4 linked regions of the Lepisosteus oculatus genome follow. The protein of the gene in region 2 interacts with the protein of the main gene of each other region in a pairwise test. Links are inferred from orthologs where the notes say so. Each region holds a gene or a part of one and is shown on either strand. Other genes may lie near its edges. The genes, in order: ewsr1a, prmt1, heterogeneous nuclear ribonucleoprotein R and spega.

Region 1 (8,052 bases), on a different chromosome or scaffold from region 2:
AGTGGGAACATACAGACTCCACGCAGACAGCACCCCAGAAACTGACCCCAGGGCCCCAGCACTGCGAGGCAGCAATGCTAAAGACTGCACCACCATGCCTCCCTCACAAACATGTCTTTTAAGAAAGTATTTAGGTATAACACACGGCTTGTTTCCGAGACAACAGACAAGAAAACCATGCATTTAGCAAAATGTCATTTTTACGGTCGGACTCAAAGGAAAAACACAAACATGTCCACATACCAACACCAAGAGAATATCTCCATTAGGCCCTATATCAAAGAGAACGCATCTAAATCCCCAATGGAAGCACAAAGCCTCCAAATATGACTCAGATATAACATTTTTTCACAGAATGCTAATTCCAAAACATGAGTCACAAAACCTTAAGGCTCACAGTATCTTCTGGTTTCTATTCCTTTTCCTTCGAGTTTTTAAATGCTACACTGACCTACTTAGAACTTTCTCACTCTTGACCATTAACTTAGCTGCCACCTAAAGCACTGCACTTCACAACCATAGCAGTGGTACTCCACTGTTCTTGAAAACCCAAGACATATGTTAATTCCACCTGCATGAATATGACATGACCTGTGACAGACAGGACTGCAGTCTCTAAATATTCCTGTGTTTGACCTGTTTCATGCACACTGACAACCCTGGACGTAGGGTATTTTTTTGTGCAAACTAGCATGTTCAAGTTCAGACTTCTTTCCACACAACCTCATCTGTTTTGGTTTCAGTTCTTTTACATACGTGACCTTATTTAATTTGATTGGTGAATTACCGAGTCAACCTCTTTCAATAAAAACGACCACTACACACTTCAAACCAGTACTCTGGGGTTGAGGATTACCTATGCAGATTAGACCAGAATGTAAAAAACTGGGGTAGTTTCCTTTAGCATTAGCCCTGCGTGTCAGAAGGGCACTGACCTCTGCGTTCCCAGAACACAGGTTTCGGTGACTCACCGCAGAGATGACACTGAAGATTTGGGCAGCTCCAGTTTCTCGACGGATCCCTCAGGAGCGTCCTGCAGAGAGGCCAGGATCCCTGCTCTCAGCAGCTGCTCTTCCAAGAGCTGGACCTCGGAGACAGCCGGCACCTCTCCTGCTGCCCAGTCAGGTTCCTGGGATTTCCAGGGCTCAGGCCGCATGTCATACTCCTCCCACTGGGACCTCTGCAAGGGCTCCAGCTGCCTGGCAGAGGACGGCTCTGCCCACGGATCAGGTCTGTAACACATGCGTCACGACACAATTGGAATAAGGGCTGGATTCCATGACACAACCCAACCCTTACTGTCTCCCCAGGTCAAAGAAACCCAGGGAGAAGGAAGAATGAAGTAACGTCAGTATTCAACCTGATTATCTGAGCTCTCTACGGTCTAATGTATTAAACGTAGAGTGGAGCACCGGCTGTGAATCTAAGTTATTAGTATTTTATGAGAAGATCCATCTTCTTTGGGTGCACAGATGTCTCAGATTCACCTTGTCATGCTCAGCAGCGTCCAACCTCAAAATGACCGACCAGCTCCCAAGAGGAGATGCAGACACATGCAGGGTTCCTTACAGAGTGTTTCGCACCCTGGGCTTCAGTCGTTCCTACCTTTGACCCGTGCAGCTCACGGGAAGACTGTCTCTATAAGAGGAAAGCACAAAGGCCCTGCGTGGGAGAAGACGACAGAGATGGTCTTCTCCTTTCTGCAGCCACTTGAGAAAGGCCGAGCTATCTGAGAGTCCACAGTGAAGGAAATCAAGTATCACAGACTTTCATTTGTTAATGATTTTTCCTCACAGGTTACAGGGTTTTGGGCCAGCCAGTCAGATTCAGTTCTGTGGTACAAAGTGTCAGCCAGTAGGGAGCAACCGACTGGTATAACAGTCTGCCGTCCCGCTGCTTGCTGGGATCGGCTCCGGCTCCCCTGTGGCCCTGGACTGGATAAAGAGCTTGGAAAATGGACAGATGGGTGACATCCGGGATCTGTAACATCCGCAGTGAAAAAGAGTCTTAAGCAAAGATCACGGCTCTTTAAAATCTGGAGAACAGCAATAATGGTGCAAAATAAGCACTGTGGAAATAAAGTCTTAAAGAAGGGCCGTGTACAAGCCTGCTCCACGAGGGGCAGAGCAGCAGATTCCCACAAGGATACAACTGAATCCCACGCAGACCGCGCACAGGTGGAGCAGGGCGAGGGAGGCCGGCACCAGCAAGCAGCTGCCGGCCAGGAGAGCCCAGGGCAGGGCCCAGGCCGGGAGCCAGCGACGGGCTCGTCCCTGCTGGCCCAGGCGGCACTGGGCAGCCAGCATGGCGAAGTGGACCGGCGAGTAGCCGCCCACCCGCCCCGCCCCGCCGGCCCCCAGCCGCGCCAGGACACAGTACAGCAGGGCCGGCAGGCAGCAGGAGAGCAGGGACAGGGCCAGGAAGCACGCGCTGCCCCAGCGCCGCTCCTGCGCCGGCCCCAGCGCCAGCAGGGCGGCGCTGCTGAGGAGCAGGGCCGCAGGGTCCTGGTGGCAGAAGGCGTAGGTCCACAGGCGGTGAACTCCAAGACAAAGCAACGGACAAAGGGAGTTAACGCCAGGTCCCGCTGGCAGGGTAGACTGTGGGATAACTCTTCCAAGATCATTAAGAAAACGTATATTGTTTCCTACACTTGCTGTGTGTTATCAAAACCCATCTATTGCTACATGCAGTTACATCTAAAAACCTAAAACAACCCTTCCGTTATTTGTTTAGATTTATATAGAAATGTATGCTGTAATGATAGATCTAGTATTTTATATATTAATTCTATATTTAATTTCCTCAGCAGCTGCTAGGCAGGAGACACCCTCGTGTTCCTGTGAAAGAGAACGGTGCAGGTGCGCCTGTACCTACCGCCTGCTGCACGAATGCACCCCTGGGCGGACTCACCTTGCAATCCAGGTAACACTTTTTCCGAGTCGAGGTACAGAGTGTCGTACGCTCCGCTGAGCCAAGTAACCAGTACGGCACCGAGCAACCCGGCGGTGCCGGCTGGAAACCCGGACCGGTTCGACCCAAGCCGAGACCAGAACGAGGGGAACCGGCTAAGCATCGCAAGTCATCTGTCCGCCCATTCTGTCAAGCGCCAGGTGCCTCTTCCCCCGCCTTACTTTCAGTATGAAATCAACACCTGAAGGCTTTCACCGGCTAAGAGTCCCCTCACCACCAATTTCGTCGAAACTGAAACAGTCGAGTTCAATAAATGGTTCGTGCAATACCGTGTCTGCGATATTCAGGACTCTCTCTGAAGGTTTAGTGAACCACCGCATTGTCAACCCATAATTTACAAATAAAACCCTATTTCATTTCAGCCACGACGAAGCATATTAGGAAAAAGTACTAAACTTCCCCGAACCGCACATCCTAGAGTTAGGGACCATCACAAAACTGAACACTAGACCTGACGAGCTTGTTATCCGATGAACACAAGTAAAAGTCAAGAGTAGTTCAGGAGGGTAGCTGCGCCAGCACGCGTAGGTTGCAATTGAACAAGTAATAGGTTTATTCCATGCTGAATAGAGAAGAAAGAAAACACACAACGTTTCGGCCGTGGAGCCTTCTTCAGGTGTGAGAACGACAGGGCAGTAGGCAGAGGTAATGTAGCAGGAGAACAAGAGCTGGGAGAGAGGAGGGGACAGACAGCTCAGTTGCAGGGGAAAGTGCCTGGTGTGGATGGGTGCTGAGGGCAGTCAAGGGAGCTGTGAACAAGAAGGTTGCGCAGATTAGGTGGTCAGCGATACGAGATGATGGGTGGTCAGAAAAGAGGGCCCCAATGGAGGGATCATCCTGTAGGCTGGAAAAGTTGTTGCTAATGGTCTTGGGGATAGACAGTGTCGGGGCGGTAGGGAAGCACAAAGGTATGCGGTTGTTACGGCGGGGGTTCCTGATTGAGCTGATGGTCTGAGGGGTGTTTTTGGCTCGGGCGAGGGCCCCGTCAATCACACTGCTGGGATATCCTCTGCTGATGAAAAAGGAGCACATTTTGAGGGCTTGGTTCTGGAAGTCGGTGTCGTCGCTGCATAATCATCGTAGCCGAAGGAACTGTGAAAAGGGAAGAGAGTTTTTAGTGTGTTTGGGGTGAAATGAGCTGTACAGGAGATAGCCGTGTGAATCTGTGGGTTTGTAATAAACCGAAGTGGAGAGTCGGGGGTAGTTGACGGAGAAGTTGATGTCTAGAAACGAAAGAGTAGAGGAAGATATGTTAACTGTATATTTGAGGGACGGGTGGAAGTTGGTGAAATGATGCAGGAAGAACTCAAGCTGATCGTTGGAGCATGTGGCAGCACCGACGCAGTCATCAATGTATCGCTTGCAGAGGTCAGGGACATAGCCAGTGTAGGAAGCGAAGAGACAATCTTCTACCCAGCCGACAAAAATATTGGCATAGCGGGGTCCCATTCTGGTGCCCATGGGAACTCCACTCACCTGTTGGTAAAAAAGGTTATTGAATGAGAATTCTGTGTGAGAACCAATTCTGCAAGGCGTACCAGTCAAAAATATATGACTAACCTTGTCCTCCATCTACAAGATGTGCACAAAGAGCACCGTGAGTCTCAGATTAAAATAATTACTCGCAGGGCAGGATTGCTCTGTGTTGAATTGTCACCTGTTTGTGTTTCATCGTATTGAATTTTTCTTCTCATTGAAAAATTTTGAGACGGTCCCTAGCATGCTTTTTACGTCATGTGGGGGGGGGGGGGTGACCAACTAGAATGTACCATTTTCGAAGTGAGTTCGAGTTCCCTAAAACCCAGCGTATGGAAAAAAAATCACTGACCATAAATAAATAATTTACCCACAAGAACTAAATCGCGTTATTACGTGAATGGATCCTAAACTTTCCAAATGGATCGGATTTTTTTGCTTCTTCTCCTCCTCCTACGACGGTGAGAGTTGGTAGAGGCTTAAGCCCCTCTTCGCGCATGCGCGCCAGGAACACTCACAGAGGACACACGAAATGGCGTCAGCAGCTGGTGAGGGCGGCGGGGAAGCCGTTTCGATTTATTACTCGGTTTTATATATATATTTTGGTGAAAATGGCAAACAGATCTGACCGCTGTTACTAGATGGCACGCACTGCAGCATGCTCCCCGTCCCCTTGTGGCGGTGTTTAGGCTGTGAAAGCGAGATAATTGCAGTATTGGGGGATGGGGTGGACGTACATCCCCATTTAGTTGGAATACTTTTGAATTTCAGGGTTCTGCGCCGGTTGCATCGGCCTCTGCAGAAACGCCTTTTCCTCGGTGCCATAAGACGGGATCGTTTTTTTTTCCCCCTCATATTTTGTCCGTGAAGGGGCTGGATTTGCAGCGTACGGAAGGACAACTGTTGCCTTGTGGCCGGTGTTCAAAACTAATCAATTAAACCAAGCGCATCTCTTCCGTCGGGCGGCGTAACCCCCCCCCCCCCAAAAAAAAGAGTGCGTTTTATTTGTTAAAATGTATTTTTGCCTCCGTATTTTCGTGCGCGGTGTGCACGGTCGCTTGATCGCGTCCGGAGACAGCGGTGCTCGCCGGTGCGAGGTGAAGCGGACGGGGTGGCCGCGGTCGCGGCCTTCTGAGAGTGGAGACACCCTGGCCGCGACGGAGGAGGGGACCTCCCGCTACCCTGACGGAGAGCGGGCAAGCCGAAATGAGGCGTGCATATCTGGCGGTTGTACAGCGGCAGGGCGGGCGGTCCAGCGTTACAAGCGCTTGAATGGCGTGTTTGGGGGGATCTAGCTGAGCTGTTCGTGGGGGCGCCTCGTTCTTCACACCTTCGCGAGTCCGAGGGCCAGATGTGGTTGTTGTTGTTGTTTACTCCCTTACCCCCACCCCCAAAAACAAAACTCGCCATAATCGGAGTGCACGCAGCCCCCTGGGCGTGTGTGGGGTGTTCCGGCCTGCCGGATCGCGGGTGTTTTCCCGAGCGGCTCCTGCGCCATGCGGGGCTGTCAGACGCCGCCGGCTTGTTGTAAAAACGCTGCTATGGCGACCTCCTCCTCTTCCTCCTCCTCCTCCTCCGCGCTGCAGCGCCAGCTGCATGCCCAGGCCCTGCCGGGGTCACACGGCTGCCCACACTCCTGTTGGGGCGCAGCTGTAGGTGTTGTTGTGGGGATGGCCTTCGCTCAAACCCCCCAGGTGCTTGGTAAACGCTTATTATTATTATTATTATTATTAATATCGCGATGGACCCCCTTTTTTTTGCAGTGGAGAAGTGCGTCAGATATCAAACTTCTTTTTTAAAAAAAGAAAAAATTGCATTTTGAGCAAGGTATCCGAGCTGTATCGACGCGACTCCGCGACTTGGGTTTGTTTGTTTTTTAGCGTGACGGTGTTCCCTCAGCCCGCTGTGCGTGGTGAGGTGATGGGGAATGCGAAGGACAAAACTGCACGCAGTTATTTTGTCTGAGAAAGGCTTGGTTTTGAACCTGTGATATTCGGGCTTCTACTGCTGTTAAGGCCTTAATGTATCTTATTTTTAATTTTCCTAAATTGTAGCTAGTGATATCCTGCTGCATTTGTGTTCAGCTGCTGCATACCTGAGTTGTCCTTGTACCTGTGTGCACTTTCACGCCATCTTCGATCTGTACTATACCCTCTATACCTTAAAGTATAATTCCTCCTTTCACAGGCTTGGGATGCTTAGTGCTGTGTTGCCTTCAAGTGTCTGTGGGCTGTGTGTGAACTTTGTCCCCTGTTGTCCAACTGGAAGACTAGCCCTGTGTTATTTTACTGGACGTTGCACTCTGGGATCCCTATCTCTCCACAGAGCTGAAGTGATCATTGAGGCTGTTGTTTCAGTGTTTACAAAGGATGTGCTGTTTCATGGTTTTGATAGTTGTTTGTTCTTGCCCAACAATGTCTGTAGCTTCTAGCTAATCCTGTGGCCATTGTTTGTAAGCTCACAATGCTCCTAGCTTTCCTATTCAAACATGCCATAACTGCTACATGAGTGAATACAGTCGTTTGTATATGTGAAATACCCTTGGAATTTGACTATAACTAAACATGATGAGATTATTTTAAAAAGTCTGCAGAACTTAATGCTAGTGATGTTTAAGCCTTGCTTTTCCCTTCAGTTTTTTTGTCTTTACAGTGCTTGACACTGTTAGGCATTTGCATCTTGGTTAGAGTTGTATTAATTTGGTCTTCAAATTCCAATACAGACAGCAGACTCTTTTGTAATTCTCCTGTCTTTCTAGGTTTTCTTGCAGAATATACAAGTGTTTTAAATTACATATGTCTAATCCCAAATATGTGTTTTTGTAAAGGCTTTATATTGGATTCTAAATGTGCTTTATTTAGAATTCATGATATTATCTAAAACTATTCCACAAACATGCAGTGACTGGTAGTTTAACGTGTATATGGCTGTTGCCACAACTGTAATGTACTGTGTACATTGCTTTCTATGCTCTGAAACCTGAGCAGGTAATTTTCTCAAATGCCCTGTTTGAAAAACAGTTGTAGTCCAGTTTATGTAAACTCATTATGGCCCACAACTGTGTAATGCTATTGACAGGCTTTACCTGAGGGTCTTCCATTCCTAGTTCTGCAGAGGTCCAGCACAAGAGGTTTTGTAGTTTTCTCCTAAATTATGTTTGTAAAACTGTAGAATATTGTAATTGTGATAAGATTTTTAGCAGACTTTTATAGCACAATTATAAATAAGTTAGGCATCAAGAGCCAAAGATCCTTGAATTAAGATTTGCCCAGTAATTGTTCCCAGTTTTTAGACGTAGGCCCAGGTGATTCAGGATGACCTGTGTTTAATTGACCTGATAAATCATGTAGTGTATTTTGAAGCTACAACATTTCATCTATCAGAACAGTCTACATATCTTCATTGTAGCCAAGAGTTGAAGACTCCGCAAATATAGAGCCAAATGATAATATGCTGTCTTTAAGACTATACAGGAAAGTGCATTTTAAGGTTCCAGGATTAAAGTGTTCCTACCATTTCATTATTAGAGAATAGAGCCGACAGCTTTAGCATTAATTTCCATCACCTTTTAGTCATCAAAGTGTTTCCAAAGACGCTGATAGCGGG
Region 2 (7,444 bases):
GTGCCAGTCCCCGAGGAGATCACCTGGCGGACCGCGGACACAGCTCTCCGCGGCCCCCCGAGGTCTCCCCTCAGAAGCCCCGGCGGCTGCGTCTCTCACGCCCGCGAGCAGAGCCTAGCCCCGCCTGTCTCCCGCTGGCGCGGGTCCGAGGGGACCGGGCCGTGGGGCCTACCTCATGGATGCCGAAGTGCGCGTAGGAGTCGAAGTAGTAGTCCTTCGAGGTCATGTCCTCCGCCGAGGGCTTTCCTGAGCTCTCCCCCTGGGACACCTGGACACACAGGGACACGGAGAGAGAGAGACAGGAGGAGGAGAAGGAAAGGAGAGAGAGAGAGAGAGAGAGAGAGAGACAGGAGGAGGAGAAGGAAAGGGAGAGAGAGAGAGAGAGAGAGACAGGAGGAGGAGAAGGAAAGGGGAGAGAGAGAGAGAGAGAGACAGGAGGAGGAGAAGGAAAGGGGAGAGAGAGAGAGAGAGAGAGACAGGAGGAGGAGAAGGAAAGGGGAGAGAGAGAGAGAGAGACAGGAGGAGGAGAAGGAAAGGGGAGAGAGAGAGAGAGAGACAGGAGGAGGAGAAGGAAAGGGAGAGAGAGAGAGAGAGAGACAGGAGGAGGAGAAGGAAAGGGGAGAGAGAGAGAGAGAGAGAGACAGGAGGAGGAGAAGGAAAGGGGAGAGAGAGAGAGAGAGAGAGACAGGAGGAGGAGAAGGAAAGGGGAGAGAGAGAGAGAGAGACAGGAGGAGGAGAAGGAAAGGGGAGAGAGAGAGAGAGAGACAGGAGGAGGAGAAGGAAAGGGGAGAGAGAGAGAGAGAGACAGGAGGAGGAGAAGGAAAGGGGAGAGAGAGAGAGAGAGACAGGAGGAGGAGAAGGAAAGGGGAGAGAGAGAGAGAGAGACAGGAGGAGGAGAAGGAAAGGGGAGAGAGAGAGAGAGAGAGAGAGACAGGAGGAGGAGAAGGAAAGGGGAGAGAGAGAGAGAGAGAGAGAGAGACAGGAGGAGGAGAAGGAAAGGGGAGAGAGAGAGAGAGAGAGAGACAGGAGGAGGAGAAGGAAAGGGGAGAGAGAGAGAGAGAGACAGGAGGAGGAGAAGGAAAGGGGAGAGAGAGAGAGAGAGAGACAGGAGGAGGAGAAGGAAAGGGGAGAGAGAGAGAGAGAGAGACAGGAGGAGGAGAAGGAAAGGGGGAGAGAGAGAGAGAGAGAGACAGGAGGAGGAGGAGAAGGAAAGGGGGGAGAGAGAGAGAGAGAGACAGGAGGAGGAGGAGAAGGAAAGGGGGGAGAGAGAGAGAGAGAGAGACAGGAGGAGGAGGAGAAGGAAAGGGGAGAGAGAGAGAGACAGGAGGAGGAGGAGAAGGAAAGGGGGAGAGAGAGAGAGAGAGAGACAGGAGGAGGAGGAGAAGGAAAGGGGAGAGAGAGAGAGAGAGAGACAGGAGGAGGAGGAGAAGGAAAGGGAGAGAGAGAGAGAGAGAGAGAGAGAGACAGGAGGAGGAGGAGAAGGAAAGGGAGAGAGAGAGAGAGAGACAGGAGGAGGAGGAGAAGGAAAGGGAGAGAGAGAGAGAGAGAGAGACAGGAGGAGGAGGAGAAGGAAAGGAGAGAGAGAGAGAGAGAGAGAGACAGGAGGAGGAGGAGAAGGAAAGAGAGAGAGAGAGAGAGAGAGAGACAGGAGGAGGAGGAGAAGGAAAGGGGAGAGAGAGAGAGAGAGACAGGAGGAGGAGGAGAAGGAAAGGGGGGAGAGAGAGAGAGAGACAGGAGGAGGAGGAGAAGGAAAGGGGGGAGAGAGAGAGAGAGACAGGAGGAGAAGGAAAGGGGGGAGAGAGAGAGAGACAGGAGGAGAAGGAAAGGGGGGAGAGAGAGAGAGACAGGAGGAGAAGGAAAGGGGGGAGAGAGAGAGAGACAGGAGGAGAAGGAAAGGGGGGAGAGAGAGACAGGAGGAGGAGAGAGGGGTGGGCATGAGTTGTGCTGCACACAGGTGACACACTCCCCCCAGGACCCCAGCAGCGCCCCCACTGGTCACACAGCGGACCTGCGCCCCCTTCCCGATCAGCCCTTACCCCGCACGGATGAGTGGGGGGGCACACGTGGGCACCCTACAGCTCCACGCGATCAATCTCATCTCACGCCCACGAACACCAGTGACCCCCCCCACCACCACCAAGCGCGCGCACCCACAACGTGGGAGGCCTCGTGCCCGCCGGTAACAGCGACTGGTGACACGTGAGCTCGCCGCCTCGTGCGCGCGTCCCACCCCCCCCCTCCTCGTCGTCTTTGTGCGTGACCGGCTGGCGCCGGCAACCCACTCATGGCGTGGGTACGCGCCGGCCCGGAACACGCCACCCTGCTTCCCCGACAGCACGAGGGCCCGAACCGCCACGGGGAATAAAGGACACGGACCCACGTGCGCCACCACAGGCTCAGTGGACACAAAGCGCCCCCACGCCACGAGGCGCCCGCCTGGACCTATGGTGGCAGGGACACACGAGCTTCCCCACGCGTGTCGGAATTCACCACCCCACTCCTCCTCCCCACGGACTCGGGCTCAAGCCCCGGGCGAGACCCGTCACGACGCGCCCCACGCCGGGCTCGGGAGCAGATTTCAGGGGCTCGGGGGTCCGGCCCCCCCTGCTCCAGCCGAGCCCACTGCGAGCGGCACCGGGACCGGACCGACGTCCCCGATCCCCGCCCGCTGCGCCCCGCCAGAACCCTTGGGGGAACCGAGCTAAAATGGACGCGGCCGCTCCGGCACGAAAAGCGACCCAACAAAGAGACGCGCTTGGCGCCCCGTCCGCCTCCGCTCCCCGATCCCCCCCGACCCGGACCAGCCCGGCCCAGCCCCTCTTCGCCCGGGTCCCCGGCCCGCGGCGCAGCCCCTGCTGCCCGCCGCGGCTCGGCCCCCTGCCCGGCCCGCACACGCCGCCAGGCCGCTCACCTCCATGCTTGCGTTCTCCGCCATTTCGAGTCTCCGTCTGCTGCTCCGCGGCCCCACACGCACCTTCTGGTCCCGCCCCCCCGCCGGCTCCAAAACCCAGGCCCGGCGCCCTGATTGGGCCACGGCGCTTGGGCCACGCCCACGGGGCGGCCCCTCTTCCGCCAGCGCAGACCTCCCATTGGTCAAACCCCTTGTCCCAGCCCACCGTGCTGGCTGCCTCCGGCCCCGCCCACATCCATGGCGCATTCGGATAAAGCGGCACAGCGATTGGACAGGGGGGCCGCCAGTCACCGCCGGGCACCGCCCACCGGCTTCCTGTCCGCCCCTGGTGAGTCACTCAGCTGCAGAGACTGTAAATCTCCGCGCCTGCAGGGGGAGACCAGTTTCGGGCTCTGCATCGCCGCTCGGCTCGTGTTCCGAACAAATCAGGCAGGAGACAGAAACGTCCGTGCAGTTTGGTTTCATTCGGCAAACTAAAACCTCTCATGTTTTGAAAACGCCGAATAATTGCGCCAGACTGTGTTTTCTGACCCCCAGCTGCGCGTCTTATTGTTCTTACTATCAAGAGTAACTGTTATTTTCAAGAGCAAAAAAAAATCTCAAATGCAGGAAACACGCAGCAGAGTTAAAACAGGAATTTAGCTTTATTTAAACGTGCATCGGGTCTTAAAAATAAAGATTGTCACCACCGTGGATAGAAATGCATAGCCATCCATACCGGCGGGATTTTCTTTAAAGGATTTAAATCCTCCGGAAGGCGGGTCTGTTGCGAGTAAGAGATCAGCTTCTGGTTGATTGACTGGTAACTAGACCAATCAGTGGGCTTCTGCTTCCAGGGAACAGCCAATCGTTTCTGCTTCTGCCGTGGCTCGGCAACAGCCAATCGTCTTCAGGGAGCCGAGCTGAGGGGCGGGTCCTAAGGACTGGTGGGGACCGACGAATATGACGTCATATAGCGGTTTAACAGCAGACAGAGAAAATAATGTTTTATATGGGTCGTCAAACATGTGTATGATGTTGATTGCAATTTTTTTAATCAGCCACTCCCACTGCAAGATTCATGCGTTATAATAATGAAAATTCACAGCACCAACAATAATGTTCTGGGGATATGTCGTGGAGATGAATTAAACCTTCTGCAATCTGATTAATAAGTGCGCATATTACTACAAGTGATATCATAAAGCACGGTACAAATAGTGTAAATCATGTAAAGTCCAGTGAGATCAGGGTAAAAACACAGTATAGTGCAGTAAAGCCCAGTGAGATCAGGGTAAAGGCGCAGTAGAGCCCAGTGAGATCAGAGTAAAAGCCCAGTACAGCTCAGTAGAGCCCAGTGAGATCGGGGTAAAAACACAGTATAGTGCAGTAGAGCCCAGTGAGATCGGGGTAAAAACACAGTACAGCGCAGTAGAGCCCAGTGAGATCGGGGTAAAAACACAGTACAGCTCAGTAGAGCCCAGTGAGATCAGGGTAAAAACAGTACAGCGCAGTAAAGCCCAGTGAGATCAGGGTAAAAGCCCAGTACAGCTCAGTAAAGCCTAGTGAGATCAGGGTAAAAACACAGTACAGCTCAGTAGAGCCCAGTGAGATCAGGGCAAAAACAGTACAGCGCAGTAAAGCCCAGTGAGATCAGGGTAAAAGCCCAGTACAGCTCAGTAGAGCCCAGTGAGATCGGGGTAAAAACACAGTACAGCGCAGTAAAGCCCAGTGAGATCAGGGTAAAAGCCCAGTACAGCTCAGTAGAGCCCAGTGAGATCGGGGTAAAAACACAGTACAGCGCAGTAGAGCCCAGTGAGATCGGGGTAAAAACACAGTACAGCTCAGTAGAGCCCAGTGAGATCAGGGTAAAAACAGTACAGCGCAGTAAAGCCCAGTGAGATCAGGGTAAAAGCCCAGTACAGCTCAGTAAAGCCCAGTGAGATCAGGGTAAAAACACAGTACAGCTCAGTAGAGCCCAGTGAGATCAGGGCAAAAACAGTACAGCGCAGTAAAGCCCAGTGAGATCAGGGTAAAAGCCCAGTACAGCTCAGTAGAGCCCAGTGAGATCGGGGTAATAATAATAATAATAAACTTTATTTTATATAGCGCCTTTAAAGGTGGCTTCTCAAAGCGCTTTACAGGATGACAATAACAATAAATAAGAAGACTACAACAATAAATAAGAAAATTTCACAAGACAGGACACAATTATAATTACAGCAATACAACAATAACAATAGAGGAGACCGTGGAAGATGGTATTAAGAAGAGCAGAGGGGTGAAGAATGGAACCAGTTAAGTAAAGGCTTTTCTGAAAAGGAGGGTTTTGAGTCTGGATTTGAAGGAGTTTAGAGAAGGTGACTCTCTAATATCCTTGGGCAAGGAGTTCCAGAGCTTGGTAGTAGGGCGATAAAAGTTCAGACAGGTATTGAGGTGCCAAGCCATGTAAAGCCTTGTAGGTGAGCATGAGGATTTTAAAGTCTACGCGGAATTTGACCGGAAGCCAGTGCAAGGACTCCAGGATAGGAGTAATGTGAACACTTGCACTAGATCTGGTCAGGATTCTGGCTGCTGAATTTTGGACATACTGCAGCTTGTTCAGAGTAGATTTAGATACCCCAGGGAGCAGAGCATTGCAGTAGTCAATTCGAGAGAATACAAATATGTTGATCAGCTTTTCAGCCACAGTTAATGATAGCATAGGGCGTAGTCTTGCGATATTTCTAAGGTGAAAAAAAGATGTTTTGACAGTATGCTGTACATGTGGGTCGAATGTTAAGCCAGAATCGAATATAACCCCAAGGTTTTTCAATTTTGATTGGAGCTCAAGTACAGAGCCATCTACAGACAGGGTTACAGGACTGGCTTTACGAAGTTGATGGGGGGTACCAATAAGCATGACTTCAGTCTTGTCACAGTTAAGATGAAGGAAGTTTTGAGTCATCCAAATTTTTATGTCAGAGATGCATAGATGTAAAAACACAGTACAGCGCAGTAGAGCCCAGTGAGATCGGGGTAAAAACACAGTACAGCGCAGTAGAGCCCAGTGAGATCGGGGTAAAAACACAGTACAGCGCAGTAGAGCCCAGTGAGATCGGGGTAAAAACACAGTACAGCTCAGTAGAGCCCAGTGAGATCGGGGTAAAAACACAGTCCAGCTCAGTAGAGCCCAGTGAGATCGGGGTAAAAACACAGTACAGCGCAGTAGAGCCCAGTGAGATCGGGGTAAAAACACAGTACAGCGCAGTAGAGCCCAGTGAGATCGGGGTAAAAGCCCAGTACAGCTCAGTAGAGCCCAGTGAGATCGGGGTAAAAACACAGTCCAGCTCAGTAGAGCCCAGTGAGATCGGGGTAAAAACACAGTACAGCGCAGTAAAGCCCAGTGAGATCGGGGTAAAAACACAGTACAGCTCAGTAGAGCCCAGTGAGATCGGGGTAAAAGCACAGTCCAGCGCAGTAGAGCCCAGTGAGATCAGGGTAAAAACACAGTCCAGCGCAGTAGAGCCCAGTGAGATCGGGGTAAAAGCACAGTCCAGCGCAGTAGAGCCCAGTGAGATCAGGGTAAAAACACAGTCCAGCGCAGTAGAGCCCAGTGAGATCGGGGTAAAAGCACAGTCCAGCGCAGTAGAGCCCAGTGAGATCAGGGTAAAAACACAGTCCAGCGCAGTAGAGCCCAGTGAGATCGGGGTAAAAACACAGTACAGCTCAGTAGAGCCCAGTGAGATCAGGGTAAAAACACAGTCCAGCTCAGTAGAGCCCAGTGAGATCAGGGTAAAAGCCCAGTACAGCTCAGTAGAGCCCAGTGAGATCGGGGTAAAAATACAGTACAGCTCAGTAGAGCCCAGTGAGATCGGGGTAAAAACACAGTACAGCTCAGTAGAGCCCAGTGAGATCGGGGTAAAAACACAGTACAGCGCAGTAGAGCCCAGTGAGATCGGGGTAAAAACACAGTACAGCTCAGTAGAGCCCAGTGAGATCGGGGTAAAAGCACAGTACAGCTCAGTAGAGCCCAGTGAGATCGGGGTAAAAACACAGTACAGCGCAGTAGAGCCCAGTGAGATCAGGGTAAAAGCCCAGTACAGCTCAGTAGAGCCCAGTGAGATCAGGGTAAAAACACAGTCCAGCTCAGTAGAGGTACAGCTCAGTAGAGCCCAGTGAGATCAGGGTAAAAGCCCAGTACAGCTCAGTAGAGCCCAGTGAGATCGGGGTAAAAACACAGTCCAGCTCAGTAGAGCCCAGTGAGATCAGGGTAAAAGCCCAGTACAGCTCAGTAGAGCCCAGTGAGATCGGGGTAAAAGCCCAGTACAGCTCAGTAGAGCCCAGTGAGATCGGGGTAAAAACACAGTCCAGCTCAGTAGAGCCCAGTGAGATCGGGGTAAAAGCCCAGTACAGCTCAGTAGAGCCCAGTGAGATCGGGGTAAAAGCCCAGTACAGCTCAGTAGAGCCCAGTGAGATCGGGGTAAAAACACAGTACAGCTCAGTAGAGGTACAGCTCAGTAGAGCCCAGTGAGATCAGGGTAAAAGCCCAGTACAGCTCAGTAGAGCCCAGTG
Region 3 (7,455 bases), on a different chromosome or scaffold from region 2:
TTAACGATTAATTTTTATTAAAGCGCCACACGTTGTTTCCCTCACGTATTACTTTGAAAGTGCTATTAAGCGTTTCTTCCTTTCACGGTTTTTGTTTTGTGATTACCTCATCCTTTGTGATTTGTGTTGAGAAACAAAATAACGTTTTGTAGTGGTCTTGGGTGTCGGTGAAGCATTTTCGTAAGTGAATAATTGATTTTCATGGCAAACGTTGTCCCGCGTGATAAGTTTCTGAAATTTGCAACCAAATCTGGATCCCGTAGAAGTGTGCTCAGCACAACTCTTACCAACGCGTGTTACTTGGCGAGTGCAGTTAATGATGGCCTTTTCAGTTTATATATGATGTTGACCATCTTTATTAATATGAATTAGGACGTTGCGTTCAGTTTAGTTTAAAATGTTTGCCCCCAAATTAGTGGCGAAATACTTTTCGACGTAGCAGTTGCTGAGGTGCAGTGCGCTCATTCCCAATGCCCTGGTGGTCAGCAGTAGCTCGTCGGCTCTAACTCGTAATTTTCTTTTCCTCCAGGTTCTGCTACTCGATGGCAGAGGCCATCTGCTTGGTCGCCTGGCTGCCATTGTGGCCAAACAGGTTCTGCTTGGTAAGAATCTTTCTTTCTGTCGTTTATTTGGGCAGTTTTGTCTGAAGCAGCCCAAGTGATATCCCTTGTTCAAGAAAGAGGACCTGTGCAGTGTCCCATCTGGGACGTGTGCCCACTGCCTTTTTCCCCTCTGATTGCAGGGTTGGTGTCATAATGAGCTTGTACCTGGTTGTAAATAAGCCACCTTTTTCACCATCTTTCACTTCTACCTCTGCTGCAATATGTAATTGCTAAAAGCAGTTACAGATTGTACTACCAGTTGAAGTAGTTTATTAAAATAAACGTTTTAGAGGTCATTTTAAGAAGTTCAGTTGTCTAAAAAATGGACTGACAAATACCTGACTGTCTATGATGATGCTTATCCTACATTGTTCGAGTTTAACTACCATGAGAAAACTTGACATGCACTACCATCTGAGACGGCAGATGGTTTTTAATGGCAGCGTCCAGCAGTCCTTCGATGTGCCTAACCGCCTGTTACTTTTACAGGCCACAAAGTGGTTGTCGTGAGGTGTGAGGGCATCAATATCTCTGGGAACTTCTACCGGAACAAATGTAAGTGACCTCTTCTGCACTTCAGTTTAAGTCCATGTTTGCGGCATATCTGCGGGGGATCCCTCAGTTTAAAAGGATAGTGGCGACCAAAGCGAACTGGAAATGGCCTTTCTTGTGGGTGACCTAAGATCTTAGAACAGAATTGCTGAGCAAATCATGCATTTTCTGGTCATGGTGTAAAGAATTTACCTATTCATTATTCCTAGCAGGCTTTGCATTTTTTTTGTACTAAACTGAGAACTTAGGTCCGTGGGTAACTGAAGTCAATGTAATAATGCATGTGTGGCTAAGCAGGAGGTAGAGGCTGGTCTTTGTCTTGGGTAGCACAGTAAGTGCATGGTGCTGTCACAGTTTGGTCATGCTCATGTTGAGCTTTTGTCTTGGAACAGTGAAGTACCTTGCCTTCTTGCGCAAAAGGATGAACACCAACCCATCCCGTGGGCCCTACCATTTCAGAGCCCCCAGCAGGATCTTCTGGAGGACAGTGCGAGGTGAGGCGCTCTGAGGGCTGGAGCCTTCGATGTTACGGCAGCTTACAGAAGCCACAGCATGCGTTGACCTAAATGGGTGGCATTGCGACTTGCTCTCGACTGCTGATTCCTGAACTGTGATGAGTCTTATCCCGAACCTGACCTGGTCTGATGACAAAAATATGGATCTGACTGCTGAGTTCAGATATTCTTTAAACCTATATAAACGTTACTTAATAGTGTATATCCATAATAGTTAAACCAGCACTTTTCTTGCAATCAAAGCGATGCTTTTCCATTTTCTGGAAGGCTTTTGTGAAGTCTTTTTCCAGGAACGTAGCCCTGATACTTAAGATAAGTTGCATCTTCTATATAGATGCCCTTTAATAATTTTACTGCATAGGGCCAAACATGGCTTCACCAAATGCTGAGCAAGGGGGTGCTCAATTAAAAAAAAAAAAGAATTATGGTGACTTTTTAGAAGTAATTATGCCTTTCTTTGTAAACAGGTATGCTTCCACACAAAACAAAAAGAGGCCAGGCTGCATTGGAGAGACTGAAGGTCTTCGATGGAATCCCCCCCCCTTATGACAAAGTGAGTGGCTCCTGCACACTTCATGCACCTGATCCTCTGATGTGCGCTGTCGATGATGCTTCTATTCTACCTACATTGTTTGAATATTCTTAAATGAGAACATGAAACACATCTGAGACACACTGACTCTTGTCCTTTAAAAGGCTTTGGTTCTATTCGGTGAAACTTGACACCCCTCCTCTCTCCCTCCCCAATGTGTCCCGCAGAGGAAGCGTATGGTGGTGCCAGCTGCTCTGAAGATTGTGCGCCTGAAGCCAAGTCGCAAGGTGACTGTTGTAAAACAAACATTTGGTTTTGGCCTTTATAAAATGGCAAACGTCTGAAACGTGTGGTTTTACAGGAGCTCTTCTGAAAATATTGATACCCTTTTCAAAATAGTTCATATAGTTTCTGAGGCAGGAGCTTTGAAGTGCTGTGTGTCAGTGATGTTTTTCCACAGTTAAGTATTCGAGTTTCACGACCATGAGAATACTTGACATGCACTACCATCTGAGACCAGACAGCACAGGATTCTAGTAGACCTGTAGTATTTAATGTAAAGGGTGATGGATAATCTGATAAAAAAATTAGCTTCTCGATGTACTTACAAGTACACTGGGTGGAAAGCAGACACATGCATGATTGTGTCCCTATATACTTGTAGTGGTTAGGACTGGAAAACTTACTTGGGTTTGTTGTTCTGATCATTTGACTGGAAATGTGAAAAATATACACATTCGCTGTATTTGTTACCCAAAAAATGAAAGACTGGGGTGGGGGGAGCTCAGGTTGGAGGTCCCATCGAATGAGGTCTCATTGCTCCGTCTTGGTCCTCCCCTCCAGTTTGCCCTGCTTGGCCGCCTGGCCCATGAGGTTGGCTGGAAGTACCAGGCCATCACAGCCACCCTTGAGGAGAAACGGAAGGAGAAGTCCAAGATCCGCTACAACAAGAAGAAAACTGAGCTGAAGCTGAAGAAGCAGGCGGAGAAGAACGTCGAGAGCAAAATCGCCAAATACACTGAAGTCCTGAAACAATATGGAGTTCTTGTATAAACTGGCCGTCTTCACTCGGAAAATAAATGTTTATATAAAGTATCCGCTGCTCTCATGGGTTATTTTGTTTGGATGTTGTGGGCAGTGTCTGGATTTGATTGTGAAGTGTGTGGTGCCCCTGTGTTAATAAATTATTTTCTCTGGTGTTTGCAGGAATCTCAATACAGCAGTTATTTAAAGTGCCATTTGCAAATGAGTTCTGTTTACAAGCCATGCAGATTACTTGGCTTTAGAGCAGATACCTAGGCCGTGTTAATTTCATATCCCTAAATTCCTTTTTTCTGAATCAAAAATACCATGTGATCTTACAAGGCATTTGTCTTGCAGTTCCATCGAATTACCTTTTTTTTAGTTTTTCGAAGGCTATTGTGGGGGTGACTTCTGAGATGAGAAACAGGGAAGATTTTCCTTATGTCCTTAATCATGAAGTCGTGCCTTACGAGCTGCATCACAATGTAGCCCGTTCAGCCCAGGTACTAGCGATACAGGAATATACGGAGATCAAAAGGATTACTAATATTACAGAACCTGTGCTGGTACAACGACATGAAAAGAAAGGATATAAGCACTTGCACCCTGTCTTTTCTTAACGTAGTTCGGGTTAAACGATTCCCTATTACAGCCTGCTCAGATTTCGAAGCAAGCAACTCAAAAATAACATCATCGGCCGAAACAGACTTAATATCGAGAGCAAGAGAGAACTACCGCGTAAAATGCCTACAGCTGTACAAGTTCAAGGCAGTGCGTCGTCTTATTTTGTGTTTCTGAAAATGACTCGGGTCTACATCACCATGCCGTGATAGCCCCGGTTGTGCTGCATGTACCCTGTGCCTAGGCACTGCTCCTGTAATTTTCCATTGTCACTGGAGGTGTCGGGATCGGATTCTTTCTGTAGACTCGTACTCTGCTGCAAAGCGCCCGCAGCTGCTTCTCTTTCCAGCTAGCAGGGCTGCAGCCTGCCGCTCCTTTCCCTCTCATTGGTCCGCCGCTCACGCCAGTCTCCCCGCTTCGCTTCTCTGATTGGCGCTTTCTTCCCCTTCGCGGCGGCCCTGGAGAGTGCGCTGGGAGACCCCGTGGCAAAGTGGCGTGCGCGCTCCCCTAGACAGGGTCGGGTTGACCGCGAGGAAGTGCCGTGGACGAGCATTGGTCTGTCTTAAGTCTTCTCCCGTGGGCAGATTTATAAACCCTTCCTCGAACACAGGCAGATTTAAAATACAACAGCGTCTCAGTATTTTTTTTAAAGACACGTTTTTTTTTTAAAAAAGGCCGCAGACAGTTGCGGGTAGCTGCAGTGACGGAATTCTTGCTTTAAAGGAGCGGTAAGTTTCAGCCGGTCGGATGTGTTTTTCTCGGGCTGGAGGGGGATGGTCTCTGCTTTGGAAGGGTTTTATTTAGGCCTGTGAGGTGGGCTCGTTTTTTTAAAGCGTCTCTGAGAGTAAAATAAACCCAGACTTAAATCCAGGGTAGGCGCAGAAGGATCTCTAGGCATCATTTCGTATGCAACAGAAGTATACGTAATCACAATAAGGGGTTTCGGAGCTTTGCGTTCTTGTAGGCCTGTCTGAAATTTGTGCACCAAAGGGGGCGGAACGGATTTTTTGTCTTCGGCCGTGTGTGCAGTCCCAACTGCTGGTATTAATTTACACAGAAACCATTGTTTAAACCCGCAGGTCCCCATCGGGAAAATTCCTACAAAACATCAACCGGACGCAGGCTTGCTGATTGCAAAATTATTGCGTTTGGCCGATTTTCTTTGGTATTTTGCCGTATCTTGGGTCTCGGAACTGCGTTCGGGTTGGCGTTTTTTTTTTTGCAGCACCAAAAGAGAAAAGCTCCGGTAAACAAGAACTTGATCCAGCTAATGCTAATTGCAAATTGCTATACGCTGTAATTTTCAAATTCGTGTAATATATTACCTAAAATGCCTTCCATATTCCACATTAGCCTAGGGATTTTTTTTCGGCGGCGGCTTGGGTTAGATCAGTACGATTTTCCATTGGCAGTTTTGCCCGCTCCCAGCGGATTAGGCAGAAATGCCTTTTTTTCCCGTCAAGAAAAGACGAGATTTGCTGGAGTCCCTCCATTTTTTTTTAAAACGTTTGTCTCGGCAGTGAGATCCATTTAGCCACCCCGCTTGTGTTTCGTGTAGCTCCGCTGTCGCTGACTTTTTAAATACATTTTTGTCGGCCCAGTTGCCCAGTTTTGCCGTGTGCGGTTGATCCGTCACGCCATCGCCAGCATCGCTTGGATTTGTAGAGAGCATGGTGTGGAGAACCGGCACCCAAAGCTGATTAAGATCAATTTCTTTAGTCCGTAAACAGGGATTCTTTTCTTGAACGTTGTGTGCAATATGTTAAGCATGAACCAATACAAGGAGAATAAGATGCGTTCTGAGTGTTTATCTTAATGTTACCCCACAAGTACCCCTGAGAAATTATTTGGATCAGTGACCCTTAATTCTATATAAATAGTTTATGCTACAGTTCTTGTCGGATTTTATGTTTTAATTTGACAAAACTGTTATTTAGAGTCGGTGGTGAAAGATTTTCAGGAATAAAATAGTGTTGTAATGTATATAACTCCGGTTAACATTCATATTTCTCCACATTACAGCATTAATAGACTTGCATAATGTTCGCAGAGTACTATAAAGAATTTAACAGTTTTGACATTTGTAATTCTTTATGAAGTGCAAGCACGCTTTTCTATGTTTGTCTAGAGAGCATTTGGACACGGTGTGTTTGAGCCAATTTATTACCTCTTTTGAGGTTTTGAGGCCTTTCTGCATCTGTTTCTCATTTTTACCTTTTAGAATATTGATCTGGTCATTGCATGTAGTGTTACAGTACATCTACTAGAGAATGTCTCTGGAAATGTCGGATGACGGTTTCAGATGTTATTGATGTGCATGAGAGTTTAAAATTGCTCATGGGGTTGATTTTCTTCTTCAGTTACAGTAGGAGAAATGGCTGCTGAGGTGAATGGTAACTCTGCCCAGGTTAAGGAGGAGGACGAGCCAATGGACACCTCAAATGTAACCCACACAGAAAACTACCAGACTCTCATAGATGCTGGATTACCACAGAAAGTAGCAGAAAGGTTGGACAATATCTTTCAAACAGGTATGTGCTGGTTCCCATTCCTCATCTGCTGTGTGCTTAGTTTTTCGTTCTTAGTTTTGTTTAAAGAAAAACAAAATGGCAAAAAGTTTCACCTTTGCCCTCTTACCTCCATCTTTCTCAAGGGTGGTTATGTGGGGCAGGATGTTGTAGCTCCTTTGACATCTTAGAAAGTAATAAGTTAATCGATCAAGCGGAAGGATTCAGTGACACTGGTAGTGTGTTGAGAAGGGACACCGTGTGAAGGAAAGTTTGTGGTCCCAGGAAGAATGTCTGGTATTAGCAGTTGGTGAGAGTGCCATGACTTAAACACCGCAAATTACAGGTTTGGTGGCATACGCAGATCTGGACGAGAGGGCCATTGATGCCTTACGAGAATTCAATGAAGAAGGTGCTCTCTCCGTTCTGCAGCAGTTTAAAGAAAGTGACTTGTCTCATGTACAGGTGAGTGCATGTCCTATAGCTCCCCTATTTTTGAATTAACTGTGATTATATTCATCAAAGCGATCATGTTTTTTTTCTTTTCTCGAGAGAGAGAGTGATTTTGCTTTTTAAAATAGTTATATTAATTATTAGCAAGCATTTGGACCCTCCCCTCCTATCCCATCCCTACCTTCCATTGCCTTAGTGCTCTTTATTTGCTTAAATTAATTTTTCTGCCTTCTGTTGCAGAACAAAAGTGCATTTTTATGTGGAGTAATGAAAACCTACAGACAGCGAGAGAAGCAAGGAAGCAAGGTACAAGAGTCTACAAAGGGGCCAGATGAATCTAAGATTAAGGTAGAGTATTTGTAAAAACATACAGAATGGTTCAGTTTATTATTTTAATATGTTAGAACATTCAGTAGAATTTGGTTTCAGATTTGCCAGTTAGTGTGAATTGTCTTTAGGAAGCTTGCTATGGTGTTCAGACCATGAAGCCCATTGCTGGAGAGTGACGTTCGGCTGCTCTGAAGGCCTTTCATAAGTGTTTTTAGAACTGTTGATTATAGATGGAGTTTTTAAATACTATTGTATGAGTTGTGTGTTAACAAACTTAAATTGCAATTACAATATATTTATATGGATTCTGCGAATTTGTC
Region 4 (7,997 bases), on a different chromosome or scaffold from region 2:
TACTTCTTACACTCTACTAACAAAATACAAATCGTATTACAAACCTAAATCCTAACAAAGAAATCTGCCTCTCTTAACATTTACTGGGTTTTACTTCAATGTCTTCATTCAACACAAAAACATAAATAGGTCAAAAGAAATATAAAGAAAAAACATTGGAACTAGTCATATTGATATAAATGTATAATATGGTCGGATCTTGACATTTTTCATTTCATAACAGAATTGCATCATAATCTGAAAATTGCTGTCTAGGAAGTTTCCAGAATGCAAAGATGATAAGGGGATATTTGAATGTGTGATGAGACAAATTATATGGCATACTACACTGTAGTGTTAAAAAATACAACAAAGTGCCAAAATCTTTTCCAGTCACTAAACTAATTTCTGTGGGAAAAGAAGACTCAACAAAGAACAGAAGAATTGGGAATAAGATAATTATTACACTTTTACTTAAATTTCAGAGTTGATATCAGAAAGATAACAAAAAGAAGGAAGTTAAAATTAGACTTGGGCAGAGTTAGGGAAAATACATTTTAAAATGTAAGATGTTTACTTTGCTCATTATCAACTATAAAGAATTTTTGATTTACCATTTACCACCGTACAATTTCCTTCATTTATGTATTTATGAATCAAGGGATTCTGTAATTTCTTGGGAGTTTTTGTTGATAACATGATTCAATCCATGTGCAGATACTGTATATACTTCTTACTTAGGTGTAACTCTTTCTGAATTCCCAAAGATGTATATAGCAAACCTCAGAAACCATCAATTTGTAACACTTGGTTCCATAAAAACCTCAAAGTTATCTGGGCCCTACTCTGGTATCCACGTGCTTTATCCATATGAACTCTAACTGAACTGAATTTGCATTCAACAGTTGGATTTTAGGTGGAAATACACATCTTGATTCAGGATTACAGTTGACACCATCATTCCATACTGTCCTACCCAGATTAGCACTGTGGTTAACTGTCATAAAGACACGTTTAACAAAGTGGCAGAAGATGATACAGCTACTCCATCTTACTGTGCCTCCCAATGACCCACCATTTTAAGAGACACAACCAGCGGTGGTTACCAGTTATTTAAATCAATATTGCTTTACAGTACTTTATCCATCCATTATTAATGCATAATACAGAATGAAACTAATTAGTATTTAGTAGTAGATGCTGATACTTAATTTTAAAGTACAGTACTACACAGAAATAAAATCTTTACTGTGAATTAAATCATAGCTTTGTTAAGTTTGCCTTATCTTTCAAACAGAATTAAGACTCTGTAAACTCAATGCAGAAACAAAACATAGTCTTCTGAAGGTAAAAGCTAGAGCCATAGTGCAGTGAACCATTCCAAACAAGTTTTTGTCTGCACCTTACACACTGTAGGCCTTATTTTTAATAACCTCTGAAAATGGAAAAAACAACAACATTTTTTAAAAAACTGTTAAAAAACATATTAAAAAACAGTGAGCACTCTAAGAGAAAAATAGTTAATAACCAATACTGATTAGAGATAAATGTTGTCTTTTTGAATTACCTTCCAGGTCCATGACAGCAAGGACAGCGCTGGTTCTTGCCTCTCCCAGCGGGTTGGTCGCTATACAGGTGTAGAGCCCAGCATCACTGAGCTTGCAGTCCCTGATCCACAGCCCTCCATATTCCTGGTTATCCATAGGAAGCAGCATGTCGTTGCGGTACCAGTGCAAGTTAGGTTGCGGATCACCTGCCACTGTTACTTTCAGACGGATGTCGCACCCCGTTCCCACAGCTGCATTTTTCATCTTGCGGAGGAAAACCGGTGGTGTTCGGTAAGAATACTCATCTGAGCCTCCTAGCTCTGGTACCACCTGATCCGGAACCACTTTGGCACGTTTCGATGGGATGCCAGGACTAGGGGGCGCCACTCCTATCCGCCCCCGGGCTCCCTCCTCCCCAGGCTTCTTCAGGGTCATCTGGACTTCAGCCTTTCTCATTGTTGGAATCTTCTTCTTTAAGCTCTTGTAAGTGCCCCAAAATCAATTATTTTACTTTTATTTTCTCACTATTCCTTTTACAACTTTTTTCCAAAATCTTTTAAACTCTTTATTATTTTGGCCCTTGAACTTTTGCCATTCTTTTTAGTTTACAATTATTTCTTAGCCTGGATTGTCTTGGCAAGCAAAAGCGTTCATCAGCAGGCAAATCCTCTAATTAATGGTGGCTTTGAGAATAATTTTATATTTGAATTCAAGTATTCCAAAACTTTTTGTGTGAGTAAACTACAATTTAGATGCAAAGTAGCTTTTAAAAATTCATAGTTTTAAACATTTTTTCTACAATTTATGAAGATTTACAAATAACATACAGATGTATCTCTTCAACATAACTTAAAAAAATTAACTCCTTCATAAATTCTGGTTGTTTTCTTCATATTAAATCCTAGCCTAACAGTCATGCTTCCAGAATTGCAAACTTGAACCTCTGCATTACGTTTATGTCTCCAAAATAATGCCTTATTAGATCAAGCCTTAGAACCTTAGAACATATGAGTAATAAATAAATGTATTACCTTAATGTTACTACAGCCAAAAAGCTTTGGAATACTCTTCACCTCCTAGAACAGTTCAGATAAAGTGATTAGAAAGAAAAACTAAAGGTTTAATCTTTAGCCAATTAAAAAAGATACAGCCCGTCCAGTTTCTCCTAGTGAAGCAAAGTTGATGGTATTTTTAGTGCAAGTCCCACTGGATCATATTGCATTAGCAACCTCCTTGTATTGCCTTTTGGAACTGCTGAGGTCTGCTTTACACCCTTCTGTGTGGATCTTCAAGGTCTTAAGGGACCTGGGGAGTCTTATAGCTTCTTGGTTGCAACTTCTTATGCTTCCGGTATTACCAAATTAATTTGCCTTTCATACATGTTTCTGTCTCTGTAGGCATCTAGTTCTATTGTGCCTACGGTGTCCACACTTTCTTTGAGTATAGCTCTTGCAGTCACACTCTCTCTCCCTATCTAGTTGAGTCCCTGGGGAGGTGATTGTTGAGTCCCCTAAGCCTTGAAGTGACAGCTGCTCACTGATCAGTCACATTCTTTGGACAGTAAAATTCTTCTTCCTCCTACCACCCCCTCGGACATCTAGCCAACCAAACAACCCACAGTGTGCATGTGAGACTGCAAAAGGAGGGAGAGGAGATTAAGTTCTGATTCATTTGTCAAAGATAGAAGCCAACCAGGAACCTGCAAACATAACTTCAAATGCATCAGGTGTAAGCAGAGGGCAGCCTCCAATCTCCCCTGGATCTTAGTGCAGATCAGTCCTTCCAGCTATAATCTAGTAGTATCTGTCCTAATCGCTGTGTATATCATACTGGAGATGAGGACACAAGGATTAGGGAAAATGAAGGAAGCATTGATTTAGAAAATGTAAGAACAATTTTGATTGTTTTAAATGTAATTGTATGTACAGTGACTTTTACAAGTATTCAGAACTAGGCACAGTTTTTTTATTTTGTTACTTTAAAGCTTCCAGTCATGAAGTAATCTCATTGAAGTAGCCATTATTATTATTTGTTTCATATATTTACTCCAAACAAAGTAAAAAAAAATCAGAGAGAAAAAAAGTACATAGATAATACAAAAGAAGTGAAAAAGTCATGATTGCATAAGAAAAGTATTCAGTCTTTTTTCAATATTCAGGTTTTTTTTCTCTTTAGGTTTTTTCTGACATTTATAGTATCTTATCCATAGAAGTGTTCAGTTCAAAGATTCAGGTTTTGAATAAGTGTCTAATATGTGTGCATTAAATTTTGAATACATTCCAATGTTTACATTCATGCTTGATCCTAAAATTGATATTATTGTTAAAATAACTTTTAACCATTCATCTTTATAAGAAGCAGTTAAGCTGTCTGTTTGTCATGTGCTATCTGATATACTGATATATTTAAATTATGCTAAGGAACAAGTAATAGGTTTATTCCATGCTGAAAAGAGAAGAGAGAAAACACAACGTTTCGGCTGTGAAGACTTCTTAAGGTATGAGAAAGACAGGGCAGACAGCAAAAATTAAATAGCACAGAAGAACAGAAGCTGGGGGAGGGGAGGAGGCAGGAGGGACAGAGAGGCAGAGACCCCACTCAGGAAGTGCAAAGTGGACAGGGGTGAAGAAAGGTGTGAAGTCAAAACCTGCATGAGAATAAAGAAGATTACATGAAAAATAACTCGGTCATTGATAGAAGGGGGATGGTGTGAACCTAGTTTCAGGATGAGTTTCTTTTCTGTTGTTTTTCTGCTATGGGAGTTGAGAAACTCTTCTTTGAGAACAGAGACAGAGATCAGTGTAATCATGGCCATCTGAGGTGAAATGAAAAACTATGGGCTTGGAGAAATCTTTAATCTTCACAGACCTAACATGTTCTCTGAAGGTCTCCTAGTCTCTTTCCGGTTTCCCCAGCGTAGATAGCTGGGCATTGTTTACAAGAGATACAGTAAATAATTTGCAGGTGTATGCATTGCAAGTTCTGTTGCAGGGGAAGGTGCCTGGTGGGGATGATTGCCGAGTGTGTTCAAGGGAGCTGTGAACCAGAAGTTTATGTAGATTGGGTGGTCGGCAGTATGAGATGATTGAGCAGTTAGAAAAAAAGGGTACCGATGGAGGGATTGCCCTGTAAAATGGAGTAGTTGTTAATGATGGTCCTGGGGATAGAAAGGAATGCTGTTGTAAGACCAAGAGTTCGTGGTGGAGTTGATGATGTGAGGGCTGTTTTTGGCCCGGGTGAGGGCCCTATCAATAACATGCTCTTCAAAGGCTCGATATTTTAATTATTATGAAGGTCATCAGTCTTAACTTAAACTTATAATTTGAAAGCACTTTATTGGCCATATACAATTTATTGTATTAGGAATTTGTCTTTTCACATACCCCAACTTTCTCTCCTTGAGACACACAGAGAGGGAGAGAAGCTTGGGGTCAGAGCGCAGTGTCAGCCATTTATACAGTACCCCTGGAGCAGTTGTGGTTAAGGGCCTTGCTCAGGGGCCCAATGGAGTAGAATTCCTCTGCTGGCTGCAGGATACGAACCGGCAACCTTCCAGCAACAGGCGCAGATCCTTAGCCACAGAGCCACTGCCCCACCCTTTTTTTTATCTTGGGATAAATTAGGTGATATGATCGTTAATTTCACTTGCAAAGGAGCTCATGATAGGATGTTCCACGATAATATAAGTTTTAAGAAGGATTAAAATAAAATTACCACCAACCTTCAGACATGATGAAATTCAGCTGGTTTACATGACAGATGATCTGATGGTTGTTTTTTGAGCAGAATCATTTTGACATAGTTCATAGTTGTTGTAACCCAGCCTTTGAATATCCTTAAACAGAAACAGACTCAGAAATAAAAAAAACAAAATAAATAATAATACAAATTGTAAACTTCTCTGTAGTTCTAAAAATGTAAAACAATGCTTATATGGAGCTTCAAAACAGAAAGCACATCCCTCAGATCCCTCAGATACATACAAAACTATAGCAAAAATGAAACATGGACATACCTATTCACTATCCGTCATCAATGATGAAAGATCTTCTCTTTTGTAACCTCTACTGTGATCTTATACCAAATTATGGAAAACCTCAAATACTGGTGAATAGGAGTAGAATTAGATTTGTTTTTTTATATCAGAATAGATGTATAATGGGCAAATATCAATATAACTAAATACATGTTTATAAAAGAACAGTCTCAACAAGTCATCTTGTGTTCAATTAGATGATTACTGAAGATGCAGTTGAAAATAAAGGTTCTCAATTCTCTGATTTTCCCAAAAAACACTGCTTACTTTAGTTACTGTGATTTTGCACTGCCAGTTTCAGTTTAACTTCTAGAAATGTGTTTTATAGACAGAAATCATCACCTTTGTTACATGTAAAAATTGAATTAAATTCTCTAAAGTTTCGTTCTATTTGTAGTCTGATAAAGTGAGTGTCCACACTGTGATATTTAAGGTTTTTCTGAAGTATATGAAATGTATGATATGAATTCTGATAACTGCAAAAGATGAACCAGACATCTCCACCTGCTGGCCACTTCATCCCTACTGTGCAGTTTTTTTTCTTTTTTCAAACACATAGACATTAATATTGTTTTTTTAAAGAAACCTGTTCCTTATACAGTATATGAAGCACAAAGACAACTGAAAATTTATTTTAAGATGAAGACTATATAATATGATTGTATTTACTTTGTTTTTCATGATGCAATCTGTAGTTTTAAATTTACAAGCATAACCCTGGAGATTATTGGAAACAAAAATGAATAACATTTGGGGGCATTGTGGATCAGTCTACAGCATATCAGCAAAAATGAAATTGCTGAAAATTATTTTTGTCTTTTTCATTCAGTGCAACACAGAAAAGTCAGGAGTCATTTAAACTCACTTTGCTGAAGAAGTGCCTTCTTTCCAGTGAATAAAAAGAGTGTTAAATTGGAAATCTACAACACACAAATGATAACATAATCTTGAATATTATCTGTATTTTGGGACCTTGAAATCCATCAAATCTTATTTTCTGTTATTTGCACAACATAATAACACAATTGAAAACTGATTTAAAAAATGAGGAAAATATTTTCATAGCAATACTAAAAAAGATCATATTGAAGACATTGTCTGCTTATGATTAGTGGAGTAATTTTTTGCCATCCAGCAGGCTCAAACTTTTTTCAACAAATTCCTTTTAAACACTTTTCCACTGGTAGTTCAGTTCAACTCTTAATATGCTATTCGGTGAAGACACAGATCTGCAAAGATCTGTGTTATCTGAAGCACATCACAGTAGCAATAAACCTCTTTTTCATCTAGTCTCTATTAATTTACTCAGCTGAACTGCTCTGTGCATTTTTGCCCTCTGTGTGCCTACCTCCTTTACACTATTCTTAAAGTAAAACCTGCCTGAGTTGCTTCCTCAGTGTCTGGTTGCCTTGGAAACAACCTCACAATAATGCATGAGGGCTACACATCCAGTATTCTGTCTTACTTATGACTAGTGTGTGGGTCCCGAGGTGGACTGGAAGTGAGAAGGTAATATTAAAATGAATCCAAGATTTTTGGTTGCTTTTTTATTCAAGAGAAGATTTTGTGAAATATAAATAATATAATGAGCTTAATGTTTTATCCATGGTTCAGCAGAAACATGAAAGAAAGAACCAGAAATGATGTCTTGTTACGGGTGCAAATTTAACAGACATTAATTAATATTACTCAGAAATCTATAGTAGGGTTCTTTTTACTTTGCAGTTAATAACACTGCACATTTCTGCAATCTTCTGATTTTCAGAAGCATCAGACCACTTCAAAATGTCTTCAGCAACAGTGAACATAATTAGGGTCTACATTGTAGAAAACATTTAATGTGTTGATTCAGTCACACACTATTCATAGTCTTTCCAATGCTAATAGAGTATTTAAAGGATAATTCACCTTGTTCAATGTGACAACTGTGGTGAGTATACTTCAGAGATTAAAGCATTTAAAATAAATATATCAGTCTAATTGTATTTGTTAACAGAAATCGCCAAACAACACTTACTTTTCAGGTCACACTTTATTCCTGATGTTTTAAAAAAATATTAAGATTTCAGATCAATCTGGAAAATTCTTTCTTTTCCAATGTGTTCTGGCTAGTGGGTATCAAACGAATAGACTACTGGCCTGGAGTGGGAGTTTAAAATCTTTGTTTTGACACTTAGCACATGTAATAGTTTGTAATAGTTTTGGATAATGAAAGCCTGCCTGAAAGCACCATTACTACCATCGTGCCCAATCACAGAAACACTTTCTTTTTGGCATTAGGCTATGTCTTAACCATCTAATGGAAATCCCTGTTGTCACAGTTGCTCCCCATAGAGATTTTTAGGTTAAGGAAAATGGGAAGTTTCATTTTACCAAGAATCCTGCTGCTCATTAAACCCTCTTATGTCATTAACTCAATGAAGCATAACAAAAAC

Evidence for each region.
Region 1: the proteins of prmt1 (region 2) and ewsr1a interact in a two-hybrid assay, tested with the Homo sapiens proteins (2 studies listed by BioGRID and IntAct). The link is inferred for Lepisosteus oculatus from reciprocal best matches to the Homo sapiens genes PRMT1 and EWSR1.
Region 3: the proteins of prmt1 (region 2) and heterogeneous nuclear ribonucleoprotein R interact in binary tests that used the Homo sapiens proteins (3 or more experiments, as listed by UniProt). The link is inferred for Lepisosteus oculatus from reciprocal best matches to the Homo sapiens genes PRMT1 and HNRNPR.
Region 4: the proteins of prmt1 (region 2) and spega interact in binary tests that used the Homo sapiens proteins (3 or more experiments, as listed by UniProt). The two-hybrid records come from large-scale screens. The link is inferred for Lepisosteus oculatus from reciprocal best matches to the Homo sapiens genes PRMT1 and SPEG.

The regions. Positions count from the first base shown.
Region 1 is NC_090717.1:13,479,189-13,487,240, reverse strand, and holds the start of ewsr1a (RNA-binding protein EWS), read left to right. Parts: upstream 1-4,944; 5' UTR 4,945-4,978; coding exon 4,979-4,994; intron 4,995-8,052. Other genes in the region: rhbdd3 (rhomboid domain-containing protein 3), read right to left, coding at 972-1,232, 1,606-1,729, 2,150-2,539, 2,911-3,073. UniProt on the Homo sapiens protein: Binds to ssRNA containing the consensus sequence 5'-AGGUAA-3'. Might normally function as a transcriptional repressor. EWS-fusion-proteins (EFPS) may play a role in the tumorigenic process.
Region 2 is NC_090702.1:791,424-798,867, reverse strand, and holds the start of prmt1 (protein arginine N-methyltransferase 1), read right to left. Parts: upstream 3,013-7,444; 5' UTR 2,936-3,012; coding exon 2,912-2,935; intron 269-2,911; coding exon 173-268; intron 1-172. UniProt on the Homo sapiens protein: Arginine methyltransferase that methylates (mono and asymmetric dimethylation) the guanidino nitrogens of arginyl residues present in proteins such as ESR1, histone H2, H3 and H4, FMR1, ILF3, HNRNPA1, HNRNPD, NFATC2IP, SUPT5H, TAF15, EWS, HABP4, SERBP1, RBM15, FOXO1, CHTOP, MAP3K5/ASK1, MICU1 and NPRL2.
Region 3 is NC_090706.1:7,943,899-7,951,353, forward strand, and holds the start of heterogeneous nuclear ribonucleoprotein R, read left to right. Parts: upstream 1-4,339; 5' UTR 4,340-4,573; intron 4,574-6,205; 5' UTR 6,206-6,219; coding exon 6,220-6,376; intron 6,377-6,698; coding exon 6,699-6,817; intron 6,818-7,045; coding exon 7,046-7,153; intron 7,154-7,455. Other genes in the region: rpl13a (large ribosomal subunit protein uL13), read left to right, coding at 530-602, 1,092-1,157, 1,547-1,648, 2,137-2,222, 2,429-2,488, 3,045-3,254. UniProt on the Homo sapiens protein: Component of ribonucleosomes, which are complexes of at least 20 other different heterogeneous nuclear ribonucleoproteins (hnRNP). hnRNP play an important role in processing of precursor mRNA in the nucleus.
Region 4 is NC_090707.1:23,240,063-23,248,059, reverse strand, and holds the start of spega (striated muscle preferentially expressed protein kinase), read right to left. Parts: upstream 3,075-7,997; 5' UTR 1,983-3,074; coding exon 1,547-1,982; intron 1-1,546.